Macaca fascicularis: one gene and its partners. The protein of the gene in region 1 interacts with the protein of each later gene in a pairwise test. Links are inferred from orthologs where the notes say so. Each region holds a gene or a part of one and is shown in the gene's direction. Other genes may lie near its edges.

The links.
Region 2: the proteins of CEP70 (region 1) and TTLL10 interact in binary tests that used the Homo sapiens proteins (3 or more experiments, as listed by UniProt). The two-hybrid records come from large-scale screens. The link is inferred for Macaca fascicularis from reciprocal best matches to the Homo sapiens genes CEP70 and TTLL10.
Region 3: the proteins of CEP70 (region 1) and protein BEX2 interact in binary tests that used the Homo sapiens proteins (3 or more experiments, as listed by UniProt). The two-hybrid records come from large-scale screens. The link is inferred for Macaca fascicularis from reciprocal best matches to the Homo sapiens genes CEP70 and BEX2.
Region 4: the proteins of CEP70 (region 1) and ENKD1 interact in binary tests that used the Homo sapiens proteins (3 or more experiments, as listed by UniProt). The link is inferred for Macaca fascicularis from reciprocal best matches to the Homo sapiens genes CEP70 and ENKD1.
Region 5: the proteins of CEP70 (region 1) and NKAPD1 interact in binary tests that used the Homo sapiens proteins (3 or more experiments, as listed by UniProt). The two-hybrid records come from large-scale screens. The link is inferred for Macaca fascicularis from reciprocal best matches to the Homo sapiens genes CEP70 and NKAPD1.
Region 6: the proteins of CEP70 (region 1) and FAM161A interact in binary tests that used the Homo sapiens proteins (3 or more experiments, as listed by UniProt). The two-hybrid records come from large-scale screens. The link is inferred for Macaca fascicularis from reciprocal best matches to the Homo sapiens genes CEP70 and FAM161A.
Region 7: the proteins of CEP70 (region 1) and ZNF366 interact in binary tests that used the Homo sapiens proteins (3 or more experiments, as listed by UniProt). The link is inferred for Macaca fascicularis from reciprocal best matches to the Homo sapiens genes CEP70 and ZNF366.

What each region holds. Positions count from the first base shown.
Region 1 is NC_088376.1:41,433,597-41,438,318, reverse strand, and holds the start of CEP70 (centrosomal protein of 70 kDa), read left to right. Parts: upstream 1-1,543; 5' UTR 1,544-2,120; intron 2,121-3,906; 5' UTR 3,907-4,000; coding exon of another isoform or gene 4,001-4,009; intron 4,010-4,722.
Region 2 is NC_088375.1:233,578,025-233,581,836, reverse strand, and holds the end of TTLL10 (protein polyglycylase TTLL10), read left to right. Parts: intron 1-1,377; coding exon 1,378-1,494; intron 1,495-1,846; coding exon 1,847-1,940; intron 1,941-2,452; coding exon 2,453-2,916; 3' UTR 2,917-2,934; downstream 2,935-3,812. UniProt on the Homo sapiens protein: Inactive polyglycylase.
Region 3 is NC_088395.1:109,688,378-109,692,275, reverse strand, and holds protein BEX2, read left to right. Parts: upstream 1-1,659; 5' UTR 1,660-2,066; coding exon 2,067-2,081; intron 2,082-2,230; coding exon 2,231-2,309; intron 2,310-2,683; coding exon 2,684-3,075; 3' UTR 3,076-3,318; downstream 3,319-3,898. UniProt on the Homo sapiens protein: Regulator of mitochondrial apoptosis and G1 cell cycle in breast cancer.
Region 4 is NC_088394.1:63,699,742-63,704,346, reverse strand, and holds the start of ENKD1 (enkurin domain-containing protein 1), read left to right. Parts: upstream 1-1,628; 5' UTR 1,629-1,936; coding exon 1,937-2,021; intron 2,022-2,111; coding exon 2,112-2,306; intron 2,307-3,482; coding exon 3,483-3,655; intron 3,656-4,605. Other genes in the region: C20H16orf86 (uncharacterized protein C16orf86 homolog), read right to left, coding at 1-204, 300-876. UniProt on the Homo sapiens protein: Microtubule-binding protein which regulates microtubule organization and stability. Promotes the stability of astral microtubules and facilitates the proper orientation of the mitotic spindle.
Region 5 is NC_088388.1:111,005,060-111,009,669, forward strand, and holds the start of NKAPD1 (uncharacterized protein NKAPD1), read left to right. Parts: upstream 1-1,420; 5' UTR 1,421-2,038; intron 2,039-2,686; 5' UTR 2,687-2,694; coding exon 2,695-2,763; intron 2,764-4,610.
Region 6 is NC_088387.1:60,076,187-60,080,163, forward strand, and holds part of FAM161A (protein FAM161A), read left to right. Parts: intron 1-2,652; coding exon 2,653-2,891; intron 2,892-3,977. UniProt on the Homo sapiens protein: Involved in ciliogenesis.
Region 7 is NC_088380.1:76,445,660-76,450,226, reverse strand, and holds the start of ZNF366 (zinc finger protein 366), read left to right. Parts: upstream 1-1,711; 5' UTR 1,712-1,837; intron 1,838-4,567. UniProt on the Homo sapiens protein: Has transcriptional repression activity. Acts as a corepressor of ESR1; the function seems to involve CTBP1 and histone deacetylases.

The sequences.
Region 1 (4,722 bases):
AGGAGTCAGCCTTCTTGTGCTTTGAAGATTGTGAAAGACACTGGGGATCATCCATCTAGCATCCATTTTCCTCTTCTCCTTTACAGGTCTCCACCTTGCAACTCATGTGACCCTAAGAGCACTGACACCATTGCCAATTCCAATTGTCATAGCTCCCTTTCACTTCTGGAACCCAGGCTTAAGCTATCTGTACATTTCCCAGGCAGTTACTGGTAAAGAGGAAGAGTGCGTACCTGTGTGACCTAATTGGCTCAAAAAACCAGAAGGAAAGGTTTTGGATGAAAAAGAAAGCATGTGGTCCTGATTTCTCCAAGTAGACATCTGGAAAATCACGTTAGTATGAATTTGAAGTCTACCCTTTTTTTTTTTTTTTTTTTTTTATACAACAGAGCAGAGACTAATAGCAACTGGGTCCTTGTTAACTTGCTGAGCCACTGAATTAAAGTCTCCCTTGCTTCTGGGCTTTCTGTTATGCGAGATAAGCAACTTCCTCATTTTTTAGGAAGACAATTTAACTCAGATTTCATATCACATGCATCCAAAATAATCATAACTGACCCAAAGATGTTTGGCCTCTACAGTTAGGGCAGCCATGCTCAGAAGAGTATGCAAGGGTACCCTATTGTCTTGGAAAAGGGAAGCACTGAGACTATTTGCGATTTGAGAACTGAAAATGCAAATCTGCTAACCATCGTGAGAGTGAATATCCAGGTATAGAAAGCACAGTGGGTGGGCGTAGGTTGTGGTAGGGACATGTTTGTATGGGGCAAACACAGAGATTAAACTTAAGTGTAGTTCCAGCTGCCTGGAAGAATGCTAAGAAGGGTCTGAAACTATTGAGCTCCAAGAGCCCTTGGACCTCCTGATGAGAGACCGTTGGCTGATGCCCTCGATGGGACATCCCTGCTGGCTCCTGTGGGATCTGCATCTACGCACACCTACATCATTTGACTGATTTGAAAAGACAGGTTGTCAACAGCGACACCATGTGGCTATAAGATACAATCAAAATGGTGGACATTTACAGCCTGAGGTAGGGCCTGAAGCTTCGTCGAGATGTGGAAAATGCTGAATCGGAAGAAATGTCATCAACAAACATTTATTGGGGTCCTCCAAATGTCAGCTGCTACAGTGGTCAGCCAGGTCTGGAACATCGAGAACATGCTGACCCGTACCCCAGCAAGAGCTCGTAGTAGCGGCGGGGTAGGGGGCGAGAGAGAGGGCAGTCTCTGGAGGCCAGGTAACCCAGGCTTCACTTTCACCTACGGCCACAAGTATGTCTGACATCTTCCAGGCAAATAAGGCTCCATGTAAGTGACAGGGTACCTAAGGAGAGCGATGGAAACGCCAGCTTGCCCACGACTAGCCGACGCCTGCGTTTGCGATAAGCCCCGCCCCCAGTAGCTGAGCCAACCGGAGGGTGCGGGGCGGACCCAGCTTCCGGGTGAGGCTGGAGAGAATCGTTTGGGGGCGTTCGCAGGCTAAAGAGGGGCTGGCCCTCGACGCGCTCGGGCTCGATTGGCCGCCCTTCCCCGGCGGAGGTAACGGTCGCGGAGGCGGGGCCTGATGTAGTAATCCCAGCCTAGCCGGGGCCGGGCTGGCTGCTGGTGGGAGGCGGCGACTGAGGAAGGTGAGTGGCGCTCGGGGCTCTCAGAGGTGTAGTCGTGAGCCCCTTCTCGGAGCACCCCGGACTTGACCTCACCTGGGCCTAACAGTGGTCAGACTGACCCTTGTCAGGGAGGAGCCGCCTGGGATAGGGTCGCGCCAATTACAAATCCCTGCGTAAGGGTTTGGGGATGGGACAAACCTGCGTGCTAGCCCCAGCTCCCCAGGCTTTGTGTTCTTTGGCTTCTCCTTTAATGTCTCAGCGCCTCGGATTCTTTATTTGTATACTAAAGCTGGTAATTCTCGCCTTACAAAGTGGTTGTGTGGGTTAAATGAGGCAGTAAGAGTAAAGCTTAGAATCACAGCGGGCACAGGTTCGATTTAAGCTGTAGGTAATTACTCCATCCCCCAAAATCGACCCGGACTGAAGCGCCCGTTTTGTGGCAAACAACCGCGAAGGTGGTTTGGGGAGTGAGGACTCGGAGCAGAAGGGGGCGGTTAGGCGAATAGCACAGGTGAGTATCTCTTTCTCTGGTTTATTAACCTCATTCCGGATTCAGGAGACCTCTGACTTTATACAGGGCCTAATAGGAGTTTTTCAAGGTGAAAAATGTCGGAAGGCTAAGACACCTGTAACAGAGAGACCTGAGTTTCCTTTTTTACTGCCACTGTTTTTCAATCAGTGTTTCAATCACTGTTAATATTAAACAGGCCGGGCGCAGTGGCTCACGCCTGTAATCTCAGCACTTTGGGAGGCCGAGGTGAGCGGATCACCTGAGGTCAGGAGTTCGAGACCACCCTGGCCAACATGGTGAAACCACCATGTCTCTACTAAAAATACAAAAATTAGCCGGGCGTGGTGGTGCGCGCCTGTAATCCAGCAACTCGGGAGGCTGAGGCAGGAGAATCGCTTGAACTCGGGAGGCGGAGGTTGCTGGGAGCTGAGATCGTGCCACTGCACTCCAGCCTGGAGAGCGAGGTTCCGTATCAAAAAAAAAAAAAAAAAATATATATATATATATATATATATATGTATGAATATTATATTAAACACTGTGCAGGCATTATCCATATTGGTTTCAAGCCTCTGCAATGAGTTTTGTACTTTAAATATTGCCAAGTAGACTCTGGCCTCCCCTAACCCTGCCTTTTGGGGAAGAGGTGGCTGACTTGGAGTTTTCCCTACAGCTTTTGCTTCAAAGCAAGGTTCTGCCGCTTCATGTCACCTCTCGCGAGACAGAATGATTTGGTTGAGATGACATTCCATTTTAACTCTTTCCTATTTGGGGTAGGTTCAACTCTTTCTTAGGAACATTAAACAGCAAGTTGCCATATTTTCAGAATAGAGCTTTTGCATTTAATAAGGAATAGAGACTTCGAAAGGGTTACATGTTCATTTATTGCAGTAATTTGAAGTATATGCTTTTGAAGACGCTTACAGATTTTGTTGTGATTCAGTTGAGAAGGAACAGTTACTGGCCATGGTTTATTGTCAGCTCCCCTCCCCGACCCCAAATGGTGAAAAGATAATTAAATTTTAAGGTATGGAGCATGTTACAAGGGACTTCAGACCTATAAAGGGCAATTTGGCTGAAACACTCGGGAAACCTAGAAAGTGTCAGAAGATACAATTATGTTTTTGCTTTTCTATGCCTGGCTTACTATGCCATGTACAAGACAACTCCTACCCTCTGACTCCTACCCCCACCATCTTATTTTAAGTGTATTATGACACTAATTAAAGCTGTAGCTTCTGTTTTGGCCCTAGAAGGCATTTGGTCTCTTCCTGTGACTTTAAAAGTTCCAGACCTTTGTCCTGGAAGTAGGGACAGCCTGTAGTGGGGAAAAGGCTGCTGCAAACTATTGGCCTGTTAATTTCATAGAATGGACCTCTGAAAAGGAGGGTTTGGTCACAGGTGCAAATGAGGAGTAGTTTTGTTCCTGTGTTTGCTTTTGTGATCAGTTGTAGTTTGTCTGAGGATGCTTCATTTTAGTATCCTTGCAAATGAGAATATCCTACCTGTGGAGCCGGAAGTCAGAATTGATGATAGATGATGATAGATTTGGATACCCAGCTAAATGTCTTAGCAAGGTAGGGAGAGGAAAGATAAGGGGAGAGAAGAGAAGGGAAGAGGTGTATGGTAGTGAGCTGGGAAGGGCATTAGCAGTTATTTCAGTTGTGCCTGGTTTATCTGTGATTACCAGTACCATGGATGCCTGCTCTGGGAGTAACAGAAGACCATTCTTACTAGGAAGCTGAACATTTCAAGATTTTCTTCTTTTTATCTTTTTGAAACCTAGATGAAGATCCAGTTTCAGACATGAGACTCGTTGGGTGATCATTTCATTGAGATCAACCTGAATGACCAGGTGTAAAGTGCAAGAGTAGTATGCTATGACTGAGGTATGTCTAATGTAACGGATGACTCCAGATGTTGGGAGACCACGGAAAAGTATGTAATTTGTTGAGTACTATACTAGGTTCATTACATATATTTCCTTTGGACTTCCTGATAATCCTATCAGGTAGATATTTTACAACTTAGCAAAGAAGCTGAAGCTCAGAGAGGTTAAGTACCTACTTAAGATAACACAGAAAGCTGATCACCAACTCTAATCACTGTCTCCATCCTGCTGTGTGCCAGGCAATGCTTTATGTTCTTTCTGTATTAACTCTCCTAATCTTTAATTTGTGAGCTGAGTACTTTTATTATCCTCATTTTATGATGAGGAAATTGAAGCACACAGAGATTAGTACTGTACTCTCCTGACTGTGTGGCAGAATCCATGATTTGAACCCAGGCAGTCTGGCTACAGAGCTCTCCAGGTTGAGTATCCCTTATCTGCAATGCTTGGAACTATGTTTTGGACTTTTGGATTAAAAAAAAATTGGAATATTTGTATATACATGAGTTATCTTGTTTAGAGTTGGGTAACTCTAAACACAAAATTCATTTATTGTTTCATGTACGCCTTATACACATAGCCTGAAGCTAATTTTATATGTTTTTAATAGTTTTATGCATGAAACCAAGTTTTGACCGTGACCTGTTACATAAAGTCAGGTGTGAAATTTTCTACTTGTGGCGTCAAGTTGGTGCTCAAAAAGTTTTGGAT
Region 2 (3,812 bases), on another chromosome or scaffold:
ACTTTTCAACTTCAGAATTTCTATTTGATTCTCTTTTGTAATTTTTGTCTCTTCACCGATATTCTCTATTATTTGATGAGACATCATCCTCATATTTCTTTTTTTTAGACAGTCTCACTGTGTCGCCCAGGCTAGAGTGCAGTGGCACAATCTCAGCTCACCACAGCCTCTGCCTCTTGGGCTCAAGCAGTCCTCCCACCTCAGCCTCCCAAGCAGGTGGGACTACAGGCACACACCACCATGCTTAGCTAATTTTGTTAATTTTTTTGTAGAGCTAAGGTCTCGCTTTATTGCCCAGGCTGATCTCAGACTCCTGAGCTCAAGTGATCTTCCCGCCTCGGCCTCCCAAAGTGCTGGGACTACAGGTGTGAGCTATGTGCCTGGCCAATTTTTGTATTTTTAGTAGAGATGGGGTTTCACCATGTTGGCTAGGCTGGTCTCAAACTCCTGAGCTCAAGTGATCCTCCTGCCTTGGCCTCCCAAAATGCTGGGACTACAGGTGTGAGCCACACACCCGGCCCTCCTACTTTCTGTTAGTCCTTTCAAGTGGGATCTTCCAAAGAACTACCAGACATAAGAAAACAAATAATTACAATTTTTTTCATAAATGAGGTCTATTTTTCTATCTCCAGTTCTGGGGATGCACGCCGTTGTTTTTTGAGGCTACAGCTGAGCTGGGGAGCAGAGGATAAAACCAGAGCACATTGGCCGGGCGCGGTGGCTCACGCCTGTAATCCCTGCACTTTGGGAGGCCGAGGCGGGCGGATCACGAGGTCAGGAGATCGAGACCATCCTGGCTAACACGGTGAAACCCCGTCTCTACTAAAATACAAAAAATTAGCCGGGCGCGGTGGCGGGCGCCTGTAGTCCCAGCTACTCGGGAGGCTGAGGCAGGAGAATGGCGCGAACCCGGGAGGCGGAGCTTGCAGTGAGCCGAGATGGTGCCACTGCACTCCAGCCTGGGCGACAGAGTGAAGACTCCGCCTCAAAAAAAAAAAAAAAAAAAAAAAAAAAACCAGAGCACATTAAAAAACGACAAAATTCACCGTTCTTACGGTGATTCGAGATTTATGTATCCCATTTGCTATCCGTCTCTTCTGCTATGAAAGAACTGCTCCAGGGCAGAGATTTCTTGTGAGTTTTGCTCACTCGTGTATCTCCAGGGCCTGGCACAGGGCAGGAGCTCCAGGATTTTGTTGACTGAGTTTCTGGCTGTGAGCCTGTGATGCTGAGTGCACGAACGTGTGGGCAGGTGTGGTTGTACAGGTGTGGGTTCAGATGGGAGTGCCGGTGAGGGACGTGGCTGTAGCTCTTCAGACCTGGGGTGTGATCAGGGCCTAGAGGCCACAGCCAGGATGCCTCCCTGTCTCCCTGCAGAAGCGGATGCAGCAGATCATGGCCCACTGCTTTCTGGCCGCCAAGTCCAAGCTGGAGTGCAAGCTGGGTTACTTTGACCTCATCGGCTGTGACTTCCTGATTGATGACAACTTCAAGGTGCTGTCCTGGGTGGCGGGGGCACGGGAGGCAGATGCAAGGAGGCAGGGGCCATCTGCACACACCCTAACCACACTGGCAGGCCCCAGGCAGACTCTGCAGTCAGCCCTGGGGATGGATGTATCCACGAGGCTCACCTCCTATGCAGCTGGGACGGACCTGCACCCCCTCCTCAGGGCAGCCCCTCAGGCCAGAGCTTCAGACCCTCAGAGTTTCAGTGGACAAACAGGGGAGCAACGCTATAGAAAGGAAGCAATCTCCCAGAGCCACCTGGCTGAACGAGGACCAGGGCCTCTGCCCTGCTGGCCCAGTGGCCTCGAGGTGGGGAGGGTCTGACTGGCATCTGGTGCAGGTATGGCTGCTGGAGATGAATTCCAACCCAGCCCTGCACACCAACTGCGAGGTCCTGAAGGAGGTCATCCCAGGTGTGGTCATCGAGACCCTGGGTGAGCCCTCCAAGCCCCCACCCCACACCCCCACAGCCTGCCCAGTCTTGAATGCCCACCCGCCCTCTTCCCAAGTTCGGACCCCCACAGATGGGGCTATTCCACCTTCTGTGTGGCAGCACCGCCCCAGCCCCCACCTTCCCCACCCCTCACACCCTCCCCACCCCTCACACCCTCCCCGCCCCTCACACCCTCCCCGCCCCTCACACCCTCCCCGCCCCTCACACCCTCCCCACACCTCACACCCTCCCACCCTTCACACCCTCCCCACACCTCACACCTTCCCCGCACCTCACACCCTCCCCACCCTTCACACCCTCCCCGCCCCTCACACCCTCCCCACACCTCACACCCTCCCCGCCCCTCACACCCTCCCCACACCTCACACCCTCCCACCCTTCACACCCTCCCCGCACCTCACACCCTCCCCCCCCACACCCTCCCCGCCCCTCCTGCTCCTCCCAGTCCCAGCCTCTGCCCCCCATTTACCCTCTCCCCCCCACCTTCACCAGACCTGGCACTGGAGACCTTCCAGAAGAGCCTGCGTGGCCAGAAGATGCTGCCTCTGCTGTCCCAGCGTCGCTTCGTGCTCCTGCACAACGGAGAGGCCGACGTGTGGCCGCGCCTGGGGGGCTCCTGCAGCCTCCGCCGACGGCTGCCTCCGCCCACCCGCCAGGCCAAGTCCTCCGGGCCACCCACGCCGCGTGCCCCAGACCAGCCGGGCACCCGCAGGCCTGTGCCACCTCCCTTGGCACCGCAGCGTCCCCAGTTGCCCGGCCCCAGTCCTGACCCAGATAGCGCCCACGATGGGCAGCCCCAGGCCCCGGGCATAGGCGACAGGCACCCGGAGCAAGAGCCTTCCCCGGGGACAGCCAAGGAGGAACGCAAGGAGCCCGAGAACGCGAGGCCCTGGGGCGGCCACCCACGCCCCACACCCCACGCCCCAGCCACACTGCCCGCCTTCAGGGACCTATAAAGGCTACTTTGTTACAAACATGGTCTCTGCAGCGGTCCTGCCACCTCAGCGCCCCGAGCCCATGCCCACCGGGGTCGCCCCCCACCACGCCGGCACTGGCCTGAAAGATGCTCCCCTGGGACTTCCCCAGCCCCCAGGCCCTGCCCCCAGGCCCCAGTAGCCCCCACTCCATGGCTGGGCCCTGTCCCTGAGGAGACTGTGCTGAGGGACAGGGGTCTCCACGGCTGGGCCCAGTCCTGGGGGGCTGTCCTGAGGAAGGGGGGTCCCCACAGCTGGCCTATGCTCCCTTCCGGGCTGCCCCATCCTGGGCTCCCGCCCATCACCCTGAGCCCCTCAGCACCAGGACCCTCCTGCAGCCCTGTGACCCCACGGCCCCCATGGCCTGGCCTGCATCCGCCATTGCCTGGTGTCCCCAGGAAGGGTCTGGACCCCATGGGCCCCTCTGAACCCTGCTGGAGCTCCAAAGGAGGACCCCCCTTGAGCCCAGGATGGCTGCCGTGGGCACCTACAGGGCTCGCCCTAGCCCGCCCGGCACAGAACCTTCCTGGGCCTTCAAGTCCCAGGCCTGGCGCTCCAGCTCCACGAGCCCCCAACCTTCCTACAGTGGCCCCAGGACTTAGCCAGCGGTGAGGGGCACAGGGCAGCTGGCCCCAACAGGAGGGTCCCACAGAAGACTTGCTGAGCTCACACTGGCCAGGCCCCAGTCAGCCCTGTGTGGCCGCCGATGGTTCTATTCCCTGTGGGCTTGGGGGTTTGCGAGGAGAGCTCTGGCAGCCCAGGGCCTCTGAGGCGTCCACCCTACCCACCCCCTCAGCCACCTCCCACCCAGAGAGCTAAAGTATACAGGCCTCTCCCAATGGCTGGCTCAAGTCCCCTGTGTCCCCCAAGTCGAGACC
Region 3 (3,898 bases), on another chromosome or scaffold:
AATGTTCTTGAAACTATTTTATAATTTTCAGTGTAGAGGTCTTGAAAGTATTTAATTAGATTTATTCCTAGATATTTGATTTTTAGCAAAACTTATTGGGCTATAATTTACATACAATAAGATACACACCTTTTAACTATATAGTTCAATGATTTCAACAAATGTATTTATCAATGGAGTCACTACCTCATTAAGATACAGAATGTTTTCCTCAGCTGAGAGAGTTCCATTATGCCTCTTTGCAATCAGAAAAACCCCAACTTTCAAGCCAGGCAAAAACTGATTTGATTCAACTTATATCAGTACAGATTAGTTTTGCCTGTTTTAGAACTTATATAAATGCAATCATGCAGAAAACAATTGTGGCTGGTGTCTTTATAGATACAATTTTTTTTTTCATTTTTTTAAGATTCATCTATGTTACTGTTTGTATCAGTAGCTTGTCACTTTTTTATTGCTTAGCAGCTTTAAAATGTATGAATACATCACAATTTGTTTATCAGTTCACTTGTTGGACATTTAGATTTTTATCAACTTTGGGGCTATCATAAAGGAAATTTCTATGAACTTTCCTATGCCAATATTTTTGAGAAAATATGTTTTAAAATCTGTTGGGAAAATTCCAAAAAGTGGAATTTCTAGGACATATGGTAAGCCTAAGTTTAACTTTTTAAGAAACTGCCACCAAGTCTTGGAGTGGTTGAACCCCTCACCAACAATCAATGAGAGTTTCTATTGTTACTATTTTCAAAAGTGCTTGGGACTGTCAGACATTTTAAGTTCAGCAATTATAATGGGTGTGCAGTGGTTTTTCATTCTGGCTTTATTTTACATTTCCCTGATAGTTAATGAGGTTGAGCATCTTTTCATGAGCTCGTTGGTAATTTGTGTATGTAGTTTTGTGAAATGTTTATTCAAATCTATTATTTGCCTTCTTGAGTTTTCGAAGTTCTTTATATATGCTCTGAATTCAAACCCACTGTCAGATACACATATTGTGAATATTTACTCCCAGCTTCTCACTTCATTTTCTTAACCATGTGGTTTAAATGGTAGTTTTTAATTTTGATAAATCCAATTTCTCATTTTTTTTTTTGTGATCTGTTCTTTTTCTGTCCTAAGGGATTGTTTTCTCAAAGATTATAAAGTTTTTCTCTATGTTTTATTCTAGAAGTTTTCTAATTTGAGTTTTTACATTTAGGTTTATGACCATTTTGAATTAATTTGTGTATAGTATAGATAAAAGGCAAGGCTCCTGTTTTTCCTTTAAGAATTCTGTTATTTCAGCACCATTTGTTTAAAAGACTATACTTTCCATATCGAATTACTTTGACATCTTTGTCAAAAATTAATTAACAGGCAGAAGGAGGTGAATCCTGGGAGCCAAGGGCAGAGAGAGGCAAGTCCCCAGAGAAGTGGGAATGGCCAACAGCTCCCTGAGAAGATGCCTTCCGTCCTTCCTGGGCAGGCAAGGGAAGTCTCAAGAATACACAAGAGAAGGGAGAGTGGCAGAGCCCAGGCTGGGGATGTTAAAAGGGACTCACGGTGAGGATGGGGGCGGGCCCGAAAGTCCCACCTGACTCCAGGCTGCAGGAGGGAGCGTGGGACGGGGGCGGAGCCGCTGGCGATGACAACAGCCCCACGTGATCGGCCAACACTGAGTCTTGCCTCGCTCTGGCGTCGGAGCCGCCGTCGCTCGCTCCTTTCTCGGCTGTGGTACCTGTTCCCGGTGGCCCTGAGGACGTGCGGGCCAGGTGCGGCCCCGAAAGCAGGAAGCGGAGGGGGAGCAGGTAAGGGAGACGGAGGGGGTCCCTGGGGTTGGTGTGGGGGAGCGGCCCCGGCCTGCGGATGCCCCACCCCCGAGGAGCCGCGCTGAGACGCAGCCGGTGCACGATGCAGCCCCGGGGCCCCGCCGCGGGACCGCTAGCCTTTAGTGAGCGGAGGAGTGCCTGGCCCCGCGGGAGCCGGCGGTCCTGAGGCTGCGGTCCTGAGGCTACGGCCCTTCTGAAGCACCTGCCTCCGCCACCAGCGCAATCTTTTCTGAGATCCCTGCTCCGCCCTTCTTGATGCAGAAAATGGTGGTCAGCTTGGGGGGCGGGGCGGCTGAGGCGCGGGGAGAGGGCGGCGAGGAGGGCCCGGGCCCGGCGCGGGGAAGGGGCCGGGTGGCGGCGGGTCCTCGCTAGTGTTCCGCTGCAGCAGCCTCCACTCTTCCCACCCCGGCCGTCTGCAGGTCTGCGAGGCTAAGTGTCGAGGCGACGCACCTCACGTCGAGAATCGGGAGGAGGAGGAGACTGCAAGGATAGGCCCAGGTCGGTGCGAGGGACGGTGGCGGGGCGGGGGTCAGAACATGACGAAAGCCCAGTCTGGGACCCCAGTCGGTGCCTTCACTGCTACGCTTCGCAATCCCCCACCCCCACCCCTTCTTCGTCCTCCATTTTGGCGCCTGCAGAGGCCTGGAGATGGATCTGCAGAGAAGATGGTGGGCTTTGCGGGAGAGAGGGGCGCGGACTGCCCCCCCCCACCCCGAGGGTACACGGGGCCTCTCTGATGGGAAAAAAAATGAAATTTAAAAAAGGCCTTTGAAATCCAGGGCTCTGAATTTTGAAAGGTGGGTAGTCGGGCCTCTGTCCTCGGTGCTGATCAGTTCACCAAGAATTGAGTCCGTTTTCTCTCTGTCTCATAGGAGTAATGGAGTCCAAAGAGGAACGAGCGTTAAACAATCTCAACGTGGAAAATGTCAACCAGGAAAATGATGAAAAAGATGAAAAGGAGCAAGTTGCTAATAAAGGGGAGCCCTTGGCCCTCCCTTTGAATGTTGATGAATACTGTGTGCCTAGAGGAAATCGTAGGCGGTTCCGTGTTAGGCAGCCCACCCTGCAGTATAGATGGGACATAATGCATAGGCTTGGAGAGCCACAGGCAAGGATGAGAGAGGAGAATATGGAAAGGATTGGGGAGGAGGTGAGACAGCTGATGGAAAAGCTGAGGGAAAAACAGTTGAGTCATAGTCTGCGGGCAGTCAGCACTGACCCCCCTCACCATGACCATCACGATGAGTTTTGCCTTATGCCCTGAATCCTGATGGTTTCCCTGAAGTTAATAGGGAGACCCCAGCTTCCTAAACTTACACATTTGTGGTGTACCTTTGTCGTAAACCTTTTGATGTTACCTATTTCTTGTGGGTCTCCTATTACCAGCTTCAAACTGAATGTTGTTTTGACCCAGTTTGTAAGTTTCTGTCAGCAGGGGAGTTTTACCTACTGCATGGAAAGATGCTCATTATATATTGTGAAGTTAATAAAACAGTTTTAAAAACCATTCTCTGCATTCTTTTTTACTTTAAATCTTAAATATGAACATAAACAGTCATATATGTACACATATATACACATATATAGAAAATCGTGTTTATCTTTGTGGTAGAATTAAGAGGGAGTTTATTCTTGCGTATCCATAATTTCTTATTTTTTAAAATGGAACACGTATTACTTATAAAAAGCAATGTGACCACCTTATAAAAGCAATGTGAGCACTTAATAAACACTTGTGACAGAATCTCAATTTTAACTTGCTTCTGGGATCTCTTTTTAGAAATGTTTGAGAGACACATCTCTTTGAAGATCATAATATTTATCAGTAAGATGAAGACAATCACCTCCCAGGCTTATTGTATGGACCAGAAAAGGTAATGAGGTTGTAAGCTTTCTCCCAAGTTCTTGTTCTTACTGACATGCATGACCCAACCCTTTAGATATTCCCTTCTGTTATTAGAGGAAATCTCCAAGGTGAGGTCTTCCCTATATTCACAAGTCCAGTGGGCTAAGGAGTAGGTACTTTCATTCCTCTGCTGCTGTGCTCTATTCTCATCATCTCCCCTGGGTATTACTCTGTTTTCTAG
Region 4 (4,605 bases), on another chromosome or scaffold:
GACAGGGCAAAGCGAGGCCTGGGCCCAGCTCACCTGCCAAGGGCAGCAAGGCCTGCAGTTGCTCCACACCTGCCTCCTCAGGAACCAGGGCCAGCTCTGCCTCTGCCTCCACCTCGGCCTCCCCGTCCCCCTCCCCTGCCTGGTTCAGCTCGGGGTTGCAATAGTTGATGTACTGGTACAGGGGCCGCAGGCGCTGGGCCTTTCCTGCAAAGACCCAGGGCAGGGCAGAGGCTAGAGCGCCAGGTTGTGCCATGTCAGGCCCCACAGGGAGAAGGAACAGCCCAGGGACTGCCACTCACGCTCCAGCCCCAATGTCTCTAAGGGTGCAGACACCGTGCTGGCCACAGCGTGGAGCACGGGAGCCCCCAGGCTCTTGCGCTTCTTGGCTTTTTTGTGCTGTTTGGCAGATGGTGAGGGCTCACTCTGGCTGCCCTCTGGCTCCTCCTCCTGCAGCGGCAGCCTGGGTGGCAGCTCAGCTTCAGCCTTGGGATGGGCACGAAGGCCCGGGAGGCTGAGGGACCTGAGCCAGGGACAAGAGACCTGACGCAGGGAATACCCCAGCCTGCCCACCGCCCCAGGACTCGACGCCTGCCCCTTTCCTGGTCGATGAGGCCCCAGGCCCAAGAGGCTTAGAGGCCAGTGAGCCCAGTGCCCTACAAACCCTGAAGCTCCCACTCTCCTGCTGCTCCCTACATGGGGGCTCTGGAAGAACGGGAGAGGAGAGTGATGGTAGTGACAGGGGACAAGAATCCTTCCTGCAGGAGTGCAGGAATCAGGAATGCTACTGGGGTGTGTGCCCCAACCCCGGGCCTGCAGCTCCTTCCCCTCCTCCTCCCCCAGAGCCCCCTCACTTGACAGGCTTTCTCTTTGGACCATGACGGGGCCTCACAATGGAGACCACGGGCCTGGGGCCTCTCTCCTCTAGCGCCCCGGCTTCCGGCTTGGGCCTCTCCTCCCCCAGCTTGGGTCCTTCCTCCTGGAGCTCCAGCTCCGAAGCTGCGCCTGCTGGGCGCTGGTCTTCACCCTGGGTTCCGCGGGCCTCATGGGCTGGCACCAGGAAATGTTCTTCCGCCACTGGACACTAGAGGTGACACACAGGCCATCGGTCACCATGGTCGGGCAAAGGACATAGGGATCCGTCACTGAACACCTAACATTAGACACCGAAACGGGAATAAGGACACCAGCCTGTGCCCCTCCCCGCCTGGAGGGCCCAGCCTGGCAGTTAGCGGGTCGGGGCGCTCAGAGTTCCGCCTCTCAGAGTGCTGCGGCCCCCTGTTTGAAGGTTAAACAGCCTGACGGTCACCTCGGAGGTCTCAGCGCTGCCGGGGTCCTCCGCGAGCTGTCCCTGCCCCACGACCGTAGCCTCCTGGACCCCCGGCCGCCTCTCCGCCCCTGCCGAGGCCATGGCTGCGCAGGCTCAGTGCATCCTCCACAGCTGCTTGGGGAGGGCCCCGAGCGGCTGGATGGTGGCCCCGCGCTGACCCTGGAGACGGGCCAGCAAGCGAGGGCAGAGCTGGGAAGCGAAACCCGCGACCGCGGAGCCCACACTCAGCGGAAACTACAAGCCCCAGGACGCTTTGCGCCAGGGTCAGTGGGCCCTGACCCCGGGGACGGAAGCCACGGTTGCCCGGCAACAACAACTCCCGTCGGGTGGCAGCGGCTGGCGGCAAAACCTCTCGAGTGAGCCCCTGCCCAAGTGCCGCGGGGGAGAGGCCGCGAGCGGGACCGAGAAGTGGGCTGGGGGGAGAGGTCGCGGAGGCGGCGAGCGAGGCCGGGGCCCAGGCAGGGACCGGCAGGGGCCCGGGAGTGACGGGCACGCCAGGGTCAGGGTCCCAGGCGAGGGAGGAGGCCCGGGGTTGGGGAAGGGGGCCCGGGGAGGGAGGTGCACAGCCCTGCAGGCCTCGGGGCACCGTTGCTGGGCGGTGCCGGCGGCATGTGCGAGGGCCCGTCCCGCATCTCGGGGCCCATCCCCCCAGACCCGACGCTCTGCCCTGACTACTACCGGCGGCCGGCCTCGGGTGAGTCCGCGGGCTTGGCGGTGGTGCTAGGCTCAGGGGTCGGCCCCGACTCCACCTGAGTCCTGGACTCCGCCCGGCTCCGCCCCACAGCTCAAGGGCGCCTCGAGGGAAACGCGCTGAAGCTGGACTTGCTGACCTCGGACCGGGCCCTGGACGCCACCGCTCCCTGTGGCCCCCGCATCGGTCCCGGTGCCCGAGAGATCCTGGAGCGCGGCCGGCGCGGCGTCGGGGACGTGCTGTTGCAACTCGAGGGGATCTCCCTAGGTCCTGGGGCCTCTCTTAAGAGTAAGTCCCAGGAATGGAAGAAGGGGCAGAGAGGCAATGCGGGGTGGAAAGAGATCAAAAGCAGCTGCTCTTTCCGCCCTGACCTGGGCCCAGGCTTTGCATCTCTTGAGTCTCAGTTTCCCCAACTATAAAAGGGGGAGAAATGTGCTACCTTCTCGAAGGAAGTGAACTGAATAAGGTAGTTCCCACGAAGCCCTAGCTCTGCTTCGTGCATTTGTTTGTTTGTTTGTTTGTTTGTTTGTTTATTTATTTTTATTTTTTGAGACGGAGTCTCGCTCTGTCGCCCAGGCTGGAGTGCAGTGGCCGGATCTCAGCTCACTGCAAGCTCCGCCTCCCGGGTTCACGCCATTCTCCTGCCTCAGCCTCCCGAGTAGCTGGGACTACAGGCGCCCGCCACCATGCCCAGCTAAGTTTTTGTATTTTTAGTAGAGACGGGGTTTCACCGTGTTAGCTAGGATGGTCTCGATCTCCTGACCTCGTGATCCGCCCGTTTCGGCCTCCCAAAGTGCTGGGATTAGAGGCTTGAGCCACTGCGCCCAGCCTGCTCGTGCATTTATTACCCGTCAAATTTGTTTGTTGAGTGCCCACTGTGTGCCAGGCCATATAGGTGCTAGAACACAGGGTTGAAGATAAGCATGAGCCATCATTGAGTCAAGGTGGGAGACAAAGAACAGGAGATGAATGTCATATATGAGATGATCTATGGTATACTTCACTATAATAATGGAGAAAATCACCCGGACGCAGTGGCTCACTCCTGGAATCCCAGCACTTTGGGAGGTCCAGGCAGGCGGATCACTTGAGCCCAGGAGATGGAAACCAGCCTGGCCAACATGGTGAAACCCCATCTCTACAAAAAATACAAAAATTAGCCTGGCGTGGTGGCGTGTGTCTGTAATCCCAGCTACTCAGCAGGCTGAAGTGGGAGGATCCCTTGAGCGGGGGAGGTCAAGGCTGCAGTGAGCTGTGATCGTGCCGCTGTACTCCAGCCTGGGTGACAGAGCGAGACACTGTCTCAAATAGTAATAATAATAATGGAGACAGTCATCCTGAAATACTACATGAGGAAGGGAACTCTTTCTGTAGGAGGCAGGGGGCAGGCCTGTGTGTGAACTAGTGGAAGTTGGATTGTGTGGGCCCTATGTAGGGCAGAGACTGGTGGCATCTTTTCTCCAGGGAAGGACCCTAAAGACCATGAGAAGGAGAACCTGAGGCGGATCAGGGAGATTCAGAAGCGCTTCAGAGAACAGGAGCGCAGCCGAGAGCATGGACAGCCCAGGCCCCTGAAAGCTCTGTGGCGCTCACCCAAGTACGATAAGGTGGAGTCCCAGGTCAAGGCCCAGCTCCAGGTACCTGCTCCAGGGAGCCAGAAGTATTATCCTTTTTGTTGGCCAACAGGCAGCTATACCCTGATCCGAGTTCTGGGGAGGGAGGGAACTAAGAGACCCTGGCTCTGCTGCAGGGCGAGGCTGGGGGGCTTCTCAGAAGTGGTGATGGCGGGGCTGATCCTCAGGGGCAAGCAGCAGTTAGTCAAGGGGACAGCAGAGGAGAACATTCCCAAAAGATGGAAACTCACAGACCACAGGGCACGCAGCAGTGGAGATGCCAGGTGTACAGTTCACTGTGAGGAAAGAAAGGCGTGAAGTTAGGCCAAGAAGTCAGCTGGGCCCACATCAGGGGCCACAAAAGCCACTTTTCAGTCCTTATTTCTGAGGACAGTGGGAAGGGCAGGGGTATGGTGGGGGGCTCTGTCTCGGGTAGAGAGTAGCACCATCTTTCCATCCAGGGACTCAGCAGGAGGAGCAGGAGTGAGAGGAAAGGCAAGGTCACACAAATGTGTCTGGGCTGAAGCATCTGTGGGGCTCCCAGGGGGTGGGAGTGTGTCCAGGAAGCAGATGGAAATTCAGGCCTGGATCTCAGGAGTGAGACCCAGGAGTTATTGACGATCAGGTTGAGGACAACGAGACCAAGGAAGTGACCGCCTGGATTTGAGGACTTGGAGGCCAGCCGTCAGGAACGTTGCGGGGCTAGAGCCAGGAAGCTTGGCTAGGAAGGATGAAAGAGAGTGGTAGGTGGGCCAGTACTGAGGTGGAAGGAGAGATGGTTTGTTGTTTTCTTTTTTTTTTTTTTTTTTTTTTGAGACTGAGTCTGACTCTGTCGCCCAGGCTGGAGTGCAGTGGCCGGATCTCAGCTCACTGCAAGCTCTGCCTCCCGGGTTTTTTTTTTTTTACGCCATTCTCCTGCCTCAGCCTCCCGAGTAGCTGGGACCACAGGCGCCCGCCACTTCGCCCGGCTAGTT
Region 5 (4,610 bases), on another chromosome or scaffold:
CGGAGTCTCGCTCTGCCGCCCAGGCTGGAGTGCAGTGGCCGGATCTCAGCTCACTGCAAGCTCCGCCTCCCGGGTTTATGCCATTCTCCTGCCTCAGCCTCCCAAGTAGCTGGGACTACAGGCGCCCGCCGCCTCGCCCGGCTAGTTTTTTGTATTTTTCAGTAGAGACGGGGTTTCCCCGTGTTAGCCAGGATGGTCTGGATCTCCTGACCTTGTGATCCGCCCGTCTCGGCCTCCCAAAGTGCTGGGATTACAGGCTTGAGCCACCACGCCCGGCCCTGTGTAATTGTTGATTCATTTCTGCTTTGGGGAGGCGGAATGGGCCAGGAATTGTTTTGGTGAAGTTAGGACTTAGCATTTGTGTCTAAAAGATTGTGGATCAGCAGCACCACTTTATGTTTTCCTTATTCTTTAATTATCTAGTACCTCTTCCTAAATTCTCACATTGTCCTCTCAGATAAGACTTTACTTCTACTTGGACCCTGACAAGTCAGAGCAATCATTTTAAATCTGGGTTTCCTGATCTTCTTGTTCCAACACCTCACTGACTGGTGGCTCCCCAGTTCTGAAATTGCCAGAGGTGTGTATGGGGTGAGGGCCACATGAGACTTCCTTAATCCTCATTATAGTTTAGTAATTCAAAGCATGGACTTGCGAGCCAGAATGCCTAGATTCCGGTCTTAGTTCTATCTCTCACTAGCTGTATGACCTTGAGCAATTAATGTGTGTGTGTGTGTGTGTGTGTGTGTGTGTGTGTGTGTGTGTGTATACACATACACATACATATACATATATATATATTCCTCTTACTCTGTTCAAAATGAAGACGATAATACCTATATTATCATAGGGTTATTGCGAGGATTAAGGAAGCTAATAGAGAGGCTGGGACACTTCTCTACGTCTTCAGAGCCTCTTCTCCCATTGGAGAGGTGTCCCACAGCATCTTTAGAACGAGGCAAAAAGGTTTAGATTCTTCAACTACTGTGTAAGGGTTACGCTAAATGGGAAGCTTAACTAACGGGTAATCATTCCATAGGTCTGCAAACCCACCTCTTCTCTGTTCTAACGGGTAGTCATTCTATAGGCTGGCAAACCCACCTCTTCTCTCAGCTCCTTGACAAACCGCGACGCCTGTTACCAGGGTAACCAGCCTGGGTACAACATCTAATTGGGTCCGGGGAGTTTCAGGCAGAAAAGTCTCCTCATATCTAGTTCCGGAATGTCCCCCTTCTGGTACCAGGCTTGCTTTTCAGTTGGGCCCGATCCACTTCTCTTCCAGGAAAGCGCCCGCCTCCCTTCTGCACCCGTCAACCTCTGGAGTGTCCTGAAAACCCTCCCTTCTGGGAGTCTCTGGGCTGCCTGTTGGTGGGACTATTTCTCAGGAGCACCACTTCCGGCCTGAGAAGGAAGTCTCCTCCTTTTTCTCCCAAACCGCTTCTTCCCCCCTACCCCCCGCCACGCGAGGCAGCGGCGCACGGTATGGGTGTGTTTGTGTGTATTTGTGTGGGGAGGGCGTTTGGAGGGGAGGTTACCGGGAGCTCCGAGGCCGCTGGGGGACAGGGATCCCGGTGACAAAGATGGGGATATTTCCTCTGTCTTCCACTTGGAAACCTCAACCCCCGCTTCAGGCCCCCTAGATACTTCCTGGCGCCCAACCGAAGGCCATAGCCATCCAAAGCGTTCCCATCCTTTCTGGGGAGTGAAACTTACCCCCGGGGTTCGTCCCAGAGGAGCGTGAGGGGGGAATGCCCGGGTCAACCGGGCTGTCCGAATTCCGCGCCGGCTCAGTCTCCGGCCTCAGTCCGCGAGAGAGATCTGCCTGTCGATCTGGGCTGGGGGAAAGGCGGCAGTGGCCTGGGCCACAGGTGAGGGCAGATTAACCAGTGGGAAGGCTGCGTTTTCACGAAGGACTCGGGTGAAGCTGCAGAGCTGCCTTTGAGCCCTGACTCCTTGGCTTCCTGGGTCGGAGGAGATCTTGTAATGGAGTGGTTCTTCGTCTCACTAACAAGATGCCTGATTTCCTCAGGATCAAGGGGTGAGTGAGCGTTGGGGTGGTTGCACAAAGCCCGTGCTAGCTACACACGAAAATATTCTTGTCATCTAGTTTTTGGAAGCTTCCGTACCAAGTAGGAAATAAAATGCTCCCAAATGGAGAAGTTTAGGACATCTTTGCATTTGATGTTTTGAGTCATCAGTTTCTGTTACTGTTGACACCTGTGGTTCCTGATACTCTCAAATCTACGTATTTGCTTCACTGCAAACTAATATTGGGATTGGAGGTTTGATTTTTAATCTAGACATTGATATACATCATTTGCCTGGGACTATGTGGCTTGGGGCATGACAAGTTTAAGGGAACTTCATCTACAAAATAGGGATGGAGATATTTGCCTCATATAAAAAATAGTTATGAGGATTAAATAAAATGGTGCTCATGAAAGCACTTAATTTTATGCAGTCTTGTGCATTTTCAAAGAACTTTAATGTACATTATCTCCTTTCATCTCACATTAGTGTGTTTAGGCATTTCCCTCTTTTAATGGTAAAGGGAAAACTATTATTTAGGATCTTTGACTTCTAGTTCAGTGATCTTTCCTTTACCTCATGCTTCTTTATAAAATTTAAGAAAAGATAAAGTAATAAAATAAATTATTACTAAACGTTATTTGTTGATTCATTTCAGATTGAAGAATGTCCCGGATTCCACTGGGGAAAGTTCTCCTGAGGAATGTCATCCGGCACACAGATGCTCACAATAAGGTGGGAGGTACAACCTAGTTACTCCTCAGTGCTTACTGAAAGTAAGCAGTGTGCCAAGCATTATTTTGGCACAACTGGGAGATACAAAGAATATTCTTGTCATCTAGTCTTTGAAAGCTTTTGTACAAAGTAGGAAATAAAATGATGAATACAATAGATAATTATAATACAGTTTGATAAGTACTGTATAACAGAGATATTTGCAAAGTGCTTTGGAGCACTAAGGAGGAAATAATAAAATCTACCCCGGGGAATTAGAAAAGATTTTACAGAATTAGTGGTATTTGAGCTGCTGACATTTAAACTGGTTCTTGAATAAGTATAAGCTTACTAGGTATGAAAGATCATTCTGGATAGAGAGCATCATGCATTAATATGGCAACAAAAAAGAGCATTAATCACTCAGGGCATGGCAAGAAATTTTCCAGAAAGCGGGGAATGAAGGGATAGGCGCAGAAGATAAGGCCTCAGTGGTCATTAGAGTTGGATTGTGATGTTTGGAACTGAGACTTTTTCCTCTAGGCAGTAAAGAAGCCATCAAATGTTTTTAAACAGGATGTGACATGATCATAGTTATATTTTAGAAAGATGGTTTGTCAGATGGGTGGGGAATGAATCAGATGGGGAGAAACAATAGGGAGATTAATTAGGAGGCAATTGCAGTATTACAGGTGAGAGGTGATGAGGGTTCGCGTGAAATTAGTGACAGCAGGGATAAAGAAGAGGAATTTAGGAGATAGAGTCCAAAGAACTTGGTGGCTAATTAGATGATAATGATAAGAATGGAATCTAATTCAGTTGACCCTTGAACAATGCAGGGGTTAGGGGCATCAACCCCCTGAATAGTCGAAAATCCATGTATAACTTTTTACTCCCTCAAAACTTAAGTGCCAATAGCCTGCTACTGACTGAAAGCCATAGCAATACCATAAACAGTGGATTAACACATATTTTTTATGTTACATGTATTATATACTGTATTCTTATAGTAAAGTAGCTAGAGAAAAGAACATTTTATTAAGAAAATCACATTGAGTAGGCTGAGGAGGAAGAAGAGGGGCTTGTTTTGCTATCTCACAGGTGGCAGAGGTGGAAGCAAATCTGAGGATAAGTGGACCTGCACAGTTGAGATCCCTGTTGTTCAAGGTCAACTGTGTAACCACCTATGTGACTGAGTGGGTGATGATGATTCTGTTAATTGGGATAAAGAACAAAAAAGGGGACAATTATGATAGGAAAGGTAATTTGGTTTTCAGCATGTTGATGGTGAGGTGCTTATAGGATGTCCAAGCAGTTGAAAATTCAGACTTGGAGTAGAGGAGAAAAGTTGGGGCTGAACATAAAGGTTTTGGGATTATTGATGTATAGGTTGATGATAAGAGGTCATGAGAGTAGATGAGGTCACCTAGGAGAGCACATATAATGAAAAGAGGGCCAAGGCACCTGGTTTAGTTTTCTTCAGTAAACTACTACTTTTGGTTTGATCATATTATTACTATCATATCACCTGATTTTTAAAATTATGGGCAAGGGTAAAACTGTTACCCCAAGCTGCCTGTGCCATTATGTTAACCTGCCCCTGGTTGTATAGTAAGCTTAGATTTAAAATGGCAACTAGAAAAAGATAAATCTAGCACAGATCTAATGAAATTATGCGGGAAGACTTAGAAATAAAATGTGTTCTTGTTCTTTGGGTAATCACATTCTGCTTTTCAAGAAATTCTCTAGCAGCCATACTGTTTATTTTATTTTTGACAAAAATTATGTTATGAGAAGAGATTTATAGCTTAGGGAGTTTAAAGACCTGTCCTTACTAGTTTTTTGACTTTGGTAAAATCTCTGAGCTT
Region 6 (3,977 bases), on another chromosome or scaffold:
TGAGACGGAGTCTTGCTCTGTCACCTAAACTGGAGTGCTGTGGTACGATCTTGGCTCACTGCAACCTCCACCTCCTGGGTTCAAGTGACTCTCCTGCCTCAGCCTCCTGAGTAGCTGGGACTACAGGCACGTGCCACCATGCCCGGCTAATTTTTGTATTTTTAGTAGAGACAAGTTTCACCATGTTGGCCAGGCTGGTCTCAAACTCCTGACCTCAAGTGATCTGGCTGCCTCGGCCTCCCAAAGTGCTGGGATTGTAGGTGTCAGCCACTGCACCTGGCCTCAAAGGTAGAGTTTAAAAAAAACTGACATACCTTTTAGCAGCTAGCTGATTGCAAGATAGCCCCCAAATATTTAATGAATGAGGAAATTCACAAAGTAGTCATCCTACAGGTAAGAAGTTTATGGTGAGAAGCACATACAGAAACAGCAGAAGATATCAGAGAATTCTCTTAATTGAATTGTTTGACATACTTAAAGCAGTTCTGATTCATAGAGTTGTTAGTAGCAAATTTCTACATATAAGTTCTATTGAAGACTGATTTTTTTTTTTTTTGGAGACAGAGTCTTGCTCTGTTGCCCCAGGCTGGAGTGCAGTGGCATGATCTTGGCTCACTGCAAGCTCTGCCTCCCGGGTTCACGCCATTCTCCTGCCTCAGCCTCCCGAGTAACTGGGACTACAGGCGCCCGCCACCACGCCCAGCTGATTTTTTGTATTTTTAGTGGAGATGAGGTTTTCCCGTGTTAGCCGGGATGGTCTCCATCTCCTGACCTCATGAACCACCTGCCTCGGCCTCCCAAAGTGCTGGGATTACAGGCATGAGCTACCGCGCCTGGCCCCTGAAGACTGATTTTTTAAAACTTGTTTTCTCTAAGTTACCCCAAATAGTACAACATTGTCCTCTTATACACTGATTTTAGCCCATTAAAAAAACACCATATCTTCTGAGAAGCCTCCAATGGGAAACAAAAACACCACATCTATAACTACTATTTATAATTGACTCTTCTGAATTTTTCTTTTGAGAGAAGCTAAACAGATTTATTTTCTAGAGTCTTATCAGATTGGATCTATAATTTTCTGTAGCAAATTTTTTCATTTTGCGTCTGTTCCAGACAGTAGACTAAATTTAAAACCGTGGTTGGCAGTCTTTTATGCATAGTATCATAAATAATTTCAACTGTTTCTCAACTGAAAACATAATAAAAATTGTATATTTATAGAGAAAATGGGGTTTTATCTCTTTAGTTGCTTCAATTAAAAGAACTGAAAGGGTAGGGCACAGTGACTCACACCTGTAATCCCAGCACTTTGAGAGGCTGAGGTGAGTGGATCACCTGAGGTCAGGAGTCCGAGACCAGCCTGGCTAACATGGTGAAACCCCATCTCTACTAAAATACAAAAATTAGCTGGGTGTGGTGGTGGGCACCTGTAATCCCAGCTACTCGGGAGACTGAGGCAGGAGAAGGCAGAGGTTGCAGTGAGCCAAGATCACACCACTGCACTCCAGTCTGGGTGACAGAGTGAGACTCTGTCTCAGAAAAAAAAAAAAAAAAAAAAAAACCTGAAAGGTATGTAAAGGGAGTGAGGGAGAAAGGCCAGTCAGACCCTTCTAAACATGATCTGTGTGTTGAATAATTACACCATTTTTTCTTCTCTGCTTTGTTGTCATCCCAAAGTCCCTGTCACCCATGGGAGCTACTGCTTTTGTGCCCACAGGAGCAGCTGCCCTGAAAATCCCTCCTACCCCCTCCCATGTCCTCTTACTCCCTCCCAAGGTCTTGCCCCACTGTGAGGAGGGCTTCTCCCTGGCTCCTTGATAAGCCACTGAGAACTTTGTCCCCGCCTCCATTCCCTCTATTTCCCTGCCTTCTCTCACTGGCAGTCCTTGGAGGCACACTTCAGAAGCGCAGCTGAAGGGAGAGCATTGGGCTGTGGTTGCCTGGTTTGCAGCAGGAAGAACTGTGTTCCTCTTCATCTCAGTTAAGACTTACAACTCAAGCCGGGCGCGGTGGCTCACGCCTGTAATCCCAGCACTTTGGGAGGCTGAGGCGGGTGAATCACGAGGTCAGGAAATCGAGACCAACCTGGCTAACACAGTGAAACCCCGTCTCTACTAAAAATACACAAAATTAGCCAGGTGCGGTGGCGGGCGCCTGTAGTCCCAGCTACTCGGGAGGCTGAGGCAGGAGAATGGTGTGAACCGTGGAGGCGGAGCTTGCAGTGAGCCATGATGGCGCCACTGCACTCCAGCCTGAGCGACAGAGCGAGACTCTGTCTCAAAAAAACAAAACAAAACAAAAAAAAACTTACAACTCAGGAGGCTCCTTATAGAAATACTTTGTAAACAATTGTTGGGTTCTATCCTGTTATACCTTTTGTTGGTTGATCTGGGAATCTAACCATCCTTTATCAAATGGATTAAATAACATTTATTTTCTGACAGTTTGGTCTCGCTCCCTCTTGTTCTTAAAATATCACTGGGGAAAATGTACACACAAATAACCTGTAACTCATTCTATATGCATAACCCATAATTAACGTATAACCTAACTAGGTGGACTCTTTAGGAAGCAGCATTTTGGATCAGTGTCAGCTTAATTTGTCTTTCAGCTCCAGTCACCATATAACAGGTGTTTTCTCCCCACCAGGCTGATTTGAACACCAGCTTTTCTGGGGTGGATGAACATGCACCAATAAGCTCTGAGGACTTTGTGAACTTTCCTGGTATTCACCACTCTAATGAGGAGTATTTCAAGAAAGTAGAAGAGTTGAAGGCTGCCCACCTAGAAACTATGGCAAAATTAGAGAAAATGTACCAGGATAAATTACATTTAAAGGAAGTTCAGCCAGTGGTCATCAGGGAAGCCTCTCTTAGTGACGGTTCCAGGTAAGCTTGTAACTCAAAGTTATTTGTGGAGTATAAAATAAAATGTATCCTTAAAAGGACAGAACATAGTTATTTCAGAATATTTTCTCTTAAGTAGCCCTTTGTACTCTTAATGATATACAGAGGTAGGATTTTCTTCAAAATGTTTAATGGCTTATCAGCTTACTAGATGACTTTTGCTTGAGGGTCATTTGGTGGCCATTTGGTCTTTTCTCTCTGATCCACCCATAGAACTGAGGGCATGTATCAAAATACTTAGTCTGGGCCATTTTAAATGGTAAACATAAAAGTTTAACTTTAAAAGCTCTTTATAATATGTGGATTAACATGAGCTCATTAAAGATCTAGTACAAAGAGTTCAGAACTAGGAGACATGTATCTGATTTATGTTTTCAAAATAGTCTGCAATTTCAAGACCCATTTCTGCTGTGAATTCACCTGCTCTGAGACTTACACATCTAGTCAGTCAGCGATGCTTGCATGTCTCCTGTATGCCAGACTATGCCTGGGCACTGAGGAGTCAAAAACAAGATGCCCTCAAGGAGCTTAGAGACTAGCTGAGAACCAAAAATTGCATTACAGCATGATGTAACAGAGTGTTACAGAGGAAGAAGCAGTTGGTTATGCCAAGCTTTTGGAGGGATGCAGGCCAGAATTTTCCACTGAAGTGTCACATCTGAGTTCAGTCTTGGAGGAGGTATAAGTAGTGGTCTTCTAGCCAGCAGCAACCATGTATGCAAAGGCAAGATGGCATGAGAAATAATATCGTGTGTGAGGAACTTCACAGGACTGGATATGAATGCAGAATGGAGACTGGGGTAGCCAGTGGTGAGGAGTAAGACTGAAAAGATAGATGCCAGTCTCAAAGGGCTTGTAATCTAGGCTTGACTTTGTAGCAGTGAGGAATTATCAAAAAGTTTCAAGCAGGAGAATGACATGATCAGATCTATGCTTCAGAACTGTGACTCTGGAAATTGTGGGGAGAATTTAATAGAGGTTTGTCACAAGGAGCCTCTGCCATCTCAGGTTCCTTCTCTGTAAAATGAAGAAGTCAAAGTAGATAAGGTATGGGCATCTCCCAGCTCT
Region 7 (4,567 bases), on another chromosome or scaffold:
CCATTTCTACAAAGGCAGGATGCAGAGGAAGGCCAGCAGAGGGCAAAGAGCCCGAGAGCCGGGATCAGGAGACAGGAACGTGTTGGCGTGTGGCTATGGGCAAACCATAGAGACTGTCTCTGGTCATCCATGTTCCCCACTGTTGGTGAGGCTGGGTCACCCAGGCCAGAACTCCAGTGCCGTGGGGTGTGCCAGTGTTGGTGCTGTGGTGGATGCAAAGAATGGGACTCTGCCCTGGCTTGTGCACACCTACGGAGTAACAAAATCTTCATGTCTCTCTCTAATACATGCACACATATTCAGGTAGCTAGGTAGACAGAGAGATAGATAGATATGTAGCTAGATTAGATAGATGATGGATGGATAGATAGATAGATGATAGATAGATAGATAGATAGGTAGATAGATAGATGATAGATAGATAGATAGATAATAGAAAAAATGTGTCAGAATAAAAACAATCCTATAGGCCAATAAGGACTCAGTCAAAATCTTACAGGGTCACTGAATCAGAATCATTCTTCCCCTTAACTTACTTTCATGACTCTCTGCAATCAGGTGTATCTGTCCACCCCGTTTTTTTCACAATTGAGTGAAATGAGGAAGTAGTGTAAGGCTGGTTTTTCTTTTGCTGCCACAAAGGTCTACATAGCTGCTGGTTCCTGTTCACAGTGAAAATGGTCCTAACCAGATGAATGAGGGACACAAGAGACATAACACAAATCAGAGAAGTTAAAACCAAGCTTATTCCTAAATGCAACTAAACCTAAGCAGAGCTCATGCCTGCCTGCTGAAGCCCCAAGTCTTCTACCTTGATAAAGGGTGCGCCCTCCATTTTCTCTGCTCCTGCCTCCCCCATCTTTTTTCAAACACCGTGGCTGATTTATCTAAGCCCTATGCTGCCTCGCAGTATTTTGAAAACAAATTAGAAAGCTCCTTCCAGTTTTCCAGAGGTGATTAAATCCAAGAAGCCTTAGGAATGTAGAGGATAGAATAATATAAACAACAGATCTGAGATAACCATGTCCGGCAGCAGTTGCGGTTAGTTGCTTCTTTTCCTTTTTCGTCCATCAGTGATGGAAGCTGGATTGAGTCCACTGCGTAAAGTTCGGTGGGCATAAATCTGCTATTTGATCCTGGAAAAACTCTGAGGATCTAGAGTCAGTGAGGAATTGCAGCAATGCTGGAGTTTCAAAGGGCCTAGGAAAAGCCAGGAGTCCTGGCTGACCAGCCCCGACACTGTCTTACAGGCTGCAGGTTTACCTCGGTTAGCACAACAGGCCAAGCTCTCCCTTGCTCTAAGTCGACATGACATGATTTGTTCCCTTTCGGCTGTGTCAGTTCTGCAAACCAGATAGCAGAGGCTGCGGGCTCAGGAGAGCCTGCCTGTCTGGAACACCGTTTGTTTGGACAGGCCAGGCCACTAAGGCGTTTCATCTCTTTAAAACTCCCAGGGCAGACAGCATATTTGAGGAATTCCTTTTTTCAAAGATTTTTTTTTTTTTTTTTTACCCCTTCCAATATTTTGTTTAAGAGAAAATGAGATGTCTATCTTCTGTTTCCTTATTTTTTTTCAGGAAAGCAAAGGGTTGTTGACTTCCTCCCTCTCCCCTCCCTTCCTTCCTTCTTCCCGAAGGTACTCATCTGAGAAAAAGAGAACGAAGTATTGTTCCTGTTCTCTTTCTTAAGTCATTCGAAACACTGTCCCTGCGAGTTCTTTAAGTTCCCTGCAATCTGTACACAAGAGAAAGAGGGAGAGAGAGAGGGAGAGAGACAGAGAGAGCAGGGATCAGGTAAAGGAGTGGGGCTGCTGCAGCCATTCAGACCTCAGGAGCTGGTAAGTTACCCATGCAATCATTTCTGCTTCCATTTCAAGGTTCCTGGGTGGATACTGCTGTGGGCATCTTCAACAGAAAATACCTTACTGGGTATAGTCCTTAACCAAAGGATATGAGTGACAGATGGCCCAGAATTTAAGCTAATACTTTTTTTTTTGGTAAGAGAATACTGATGCCTTGCAGAGCTAAGGCTTGCAGAACTAGAAATAGAATTACATTGGGACTAAGGAGGACACTGCATTAAATCTGAATTTTGGCACAGATCATGTGGCTGGGTGAACCAGGAGCCACTGGCATGTGAGATGTGTCCCACTGGAGAATTTGCTTTTCCTCAGTACTGTGTCCTGGGAATCTTATCAGGGTATCTGTCAAGGACTGTGGGTTTGCTCTGGGGTTTTTGTTAACACGTTGCCTGGATTGAGGTGCCCTTCTCCTGTTCTTTTCTTTCCATTCAGCATCCCCCTAAAGGAGGACTGTTAATTGTTGTATGATGGGTATTCTGCATCACTGAAGTAGGAGGGAAAGAGAGAAGGGAATGTCACTTGGAAATAGTTCTGCATGTGGGGAGCTTATGTGTTCAGGTTCCCCATGCGCGTTGAGTGTAAATTTATTATTCTGTCAGTGGAAGATGTCATCGGCCACATGACAGAAGGCAAAGGTTTTGGGGCATATAGCTTTAGTTTTGGAAAACGATATGCAGCTAGAATGGGAGGATTAAGATGGATTGTTTATGTCAGTAGGTGGGAAAAACTAAGTTATAGACGCAATTGAAAAACATTCACCCAGTGCCTGGTTTTCCAAGCACCAAAGAGGGCATAGCAAGCTAGTTAAGCTTATATACACAACTTGTTTTTAAAAGTCTAACTTGCTTCGATTAAATTTGTCATAAAGGATAATGTTACCAGGAACCCATCATCACAAGCCATGAGGGAGCCGAAATCATGTTGTCAAAAATAGGTCAGCAAGGTCACTCTGCGAGACTCGTTATGTTTCCCAATATTGATACTTTAATTCAGAGAGATGTCGAATGGATAAAAGCCAATGGCCATGCATACTTTTAAAAAATATTCACTGCTATGAAATTTACTGATTAAAATCATCTGGGATGTGAAGAATAAGATAAAAATAGCTGGACTCTCATTTTTAAAATTAATTTGGCTAGACTATGCTTTAACCACATTCTAGTAATTAATCTTTATTCAAAATTGAACCATCATCTTACTAAGGATGAGAAAACATGATAGAACTAGACTGTGATGTAGCTTTTGTTCCATTAGTCAGACCTCTTTTTTCTTCTCCTTTTTTTAAGAGACTTTGTTTAGGAGCACCATAAAATGAGCAATATAAAGAGACGTGAATAGTGTTTGCCAGCTTGCGGATGCAAAATTATTCTAATAACAATTGAAAATTTTTTACAGCTACCCTACCACCTCCCCTAACTACTTCATTTTCATAGATCTTCAGATCAAAAGGTAGCTGGAATAGATTGTCGAGGGCATTTTTGCATCATTTATCAGCAACTGTGGCCCCAGAAGAAAATGCAGGTCTGCGATCTTGACTTGCTCCTTTCAGTTTCATTTCTCTTGATAATGTATTGAATTTTGTGCTCAACAAAAACAACATCACAGAACACATTCTAGTTTTGTTTATTGAGTAAAAGCATCAGATGCAACACAATAGGAAACAAATGACAGCAGAGTCATTTGTTAAAGACAAGGAAGGCAATTAAATTAAAGACAAGGAAAGCACAAGATGGGTAGGCCAGTGGCTCAGAAAACAGCCCCAATGCTAGCATTAGTATTCACTGTGGCTTGAGATTAAGAAGCTGAGGATATGCAGTTTTCTTTTAAAGAAAAAAGTGTATTCAATATTTCCATTTAAGTTGTTAAGTCATTGCTGTGAAAATATTTCTTGGATACCGGGGGAAAAGAATTTTGGCTACCCGAAAAATAAAAGCCATCAACTAGTTTAGTCTAAGTCACTACCACTCAATCTATCTTTACTCACTCAACTCCAAGGAGTGAGTTGGCATCTGTGGAAACTTCCAGTGTGTGATTCTTTGGGGGTCATCAGAGGGCTCTTTTGTGATATCATTGGGGGAATTCCAGTTTGAAGTGATCCAGAATTTGAGACACACAATATTTTATTCGTTAATTTCTGCCAAAAGTGTACACATAACTAAATTACAATTTCTTATGCACATTTTAAGTTATGTTAGGATGTGTGTCCTGTAGATCTGTGTGCTGGGATGTGAGTCAAATTAGAGTGAGTAGAGCACAGGCTCTGTTGCTATACTAATTTTGGTTTGAATTTCAGCTTCACTGCCTACTGATTATGGCCCTCAGGGCAGGTATTTAACTGTTCTAAGTCTCAGTGCCCCCAAATGTAAAATTGCGTCAACATAATGGAGTTGTGAGGATTAAATACAACTATTGACATAAAACACTTAACATAATGTTTGGCAAGTAGTAGGAGTCAATCAGCGTCAGTTATATACTTTTTAAGAGTCATATAAAACACTTAAGAGTACTGTATTTTGTTAATACAGAGAATAGAATGAGTCTCCTATAATCTGTGTCATTATTCTTGCTTGATACTATATCAAGGATCTGACAGAGCAGATATTATTCCTCACAGCTTTAGAGTTGGGCACACATTGAGTGAAGATATTCTGAACTCTAAATTCTTATAAAATAAAAGAGTGTAGAGTTTAGTGTATTGACATTCAT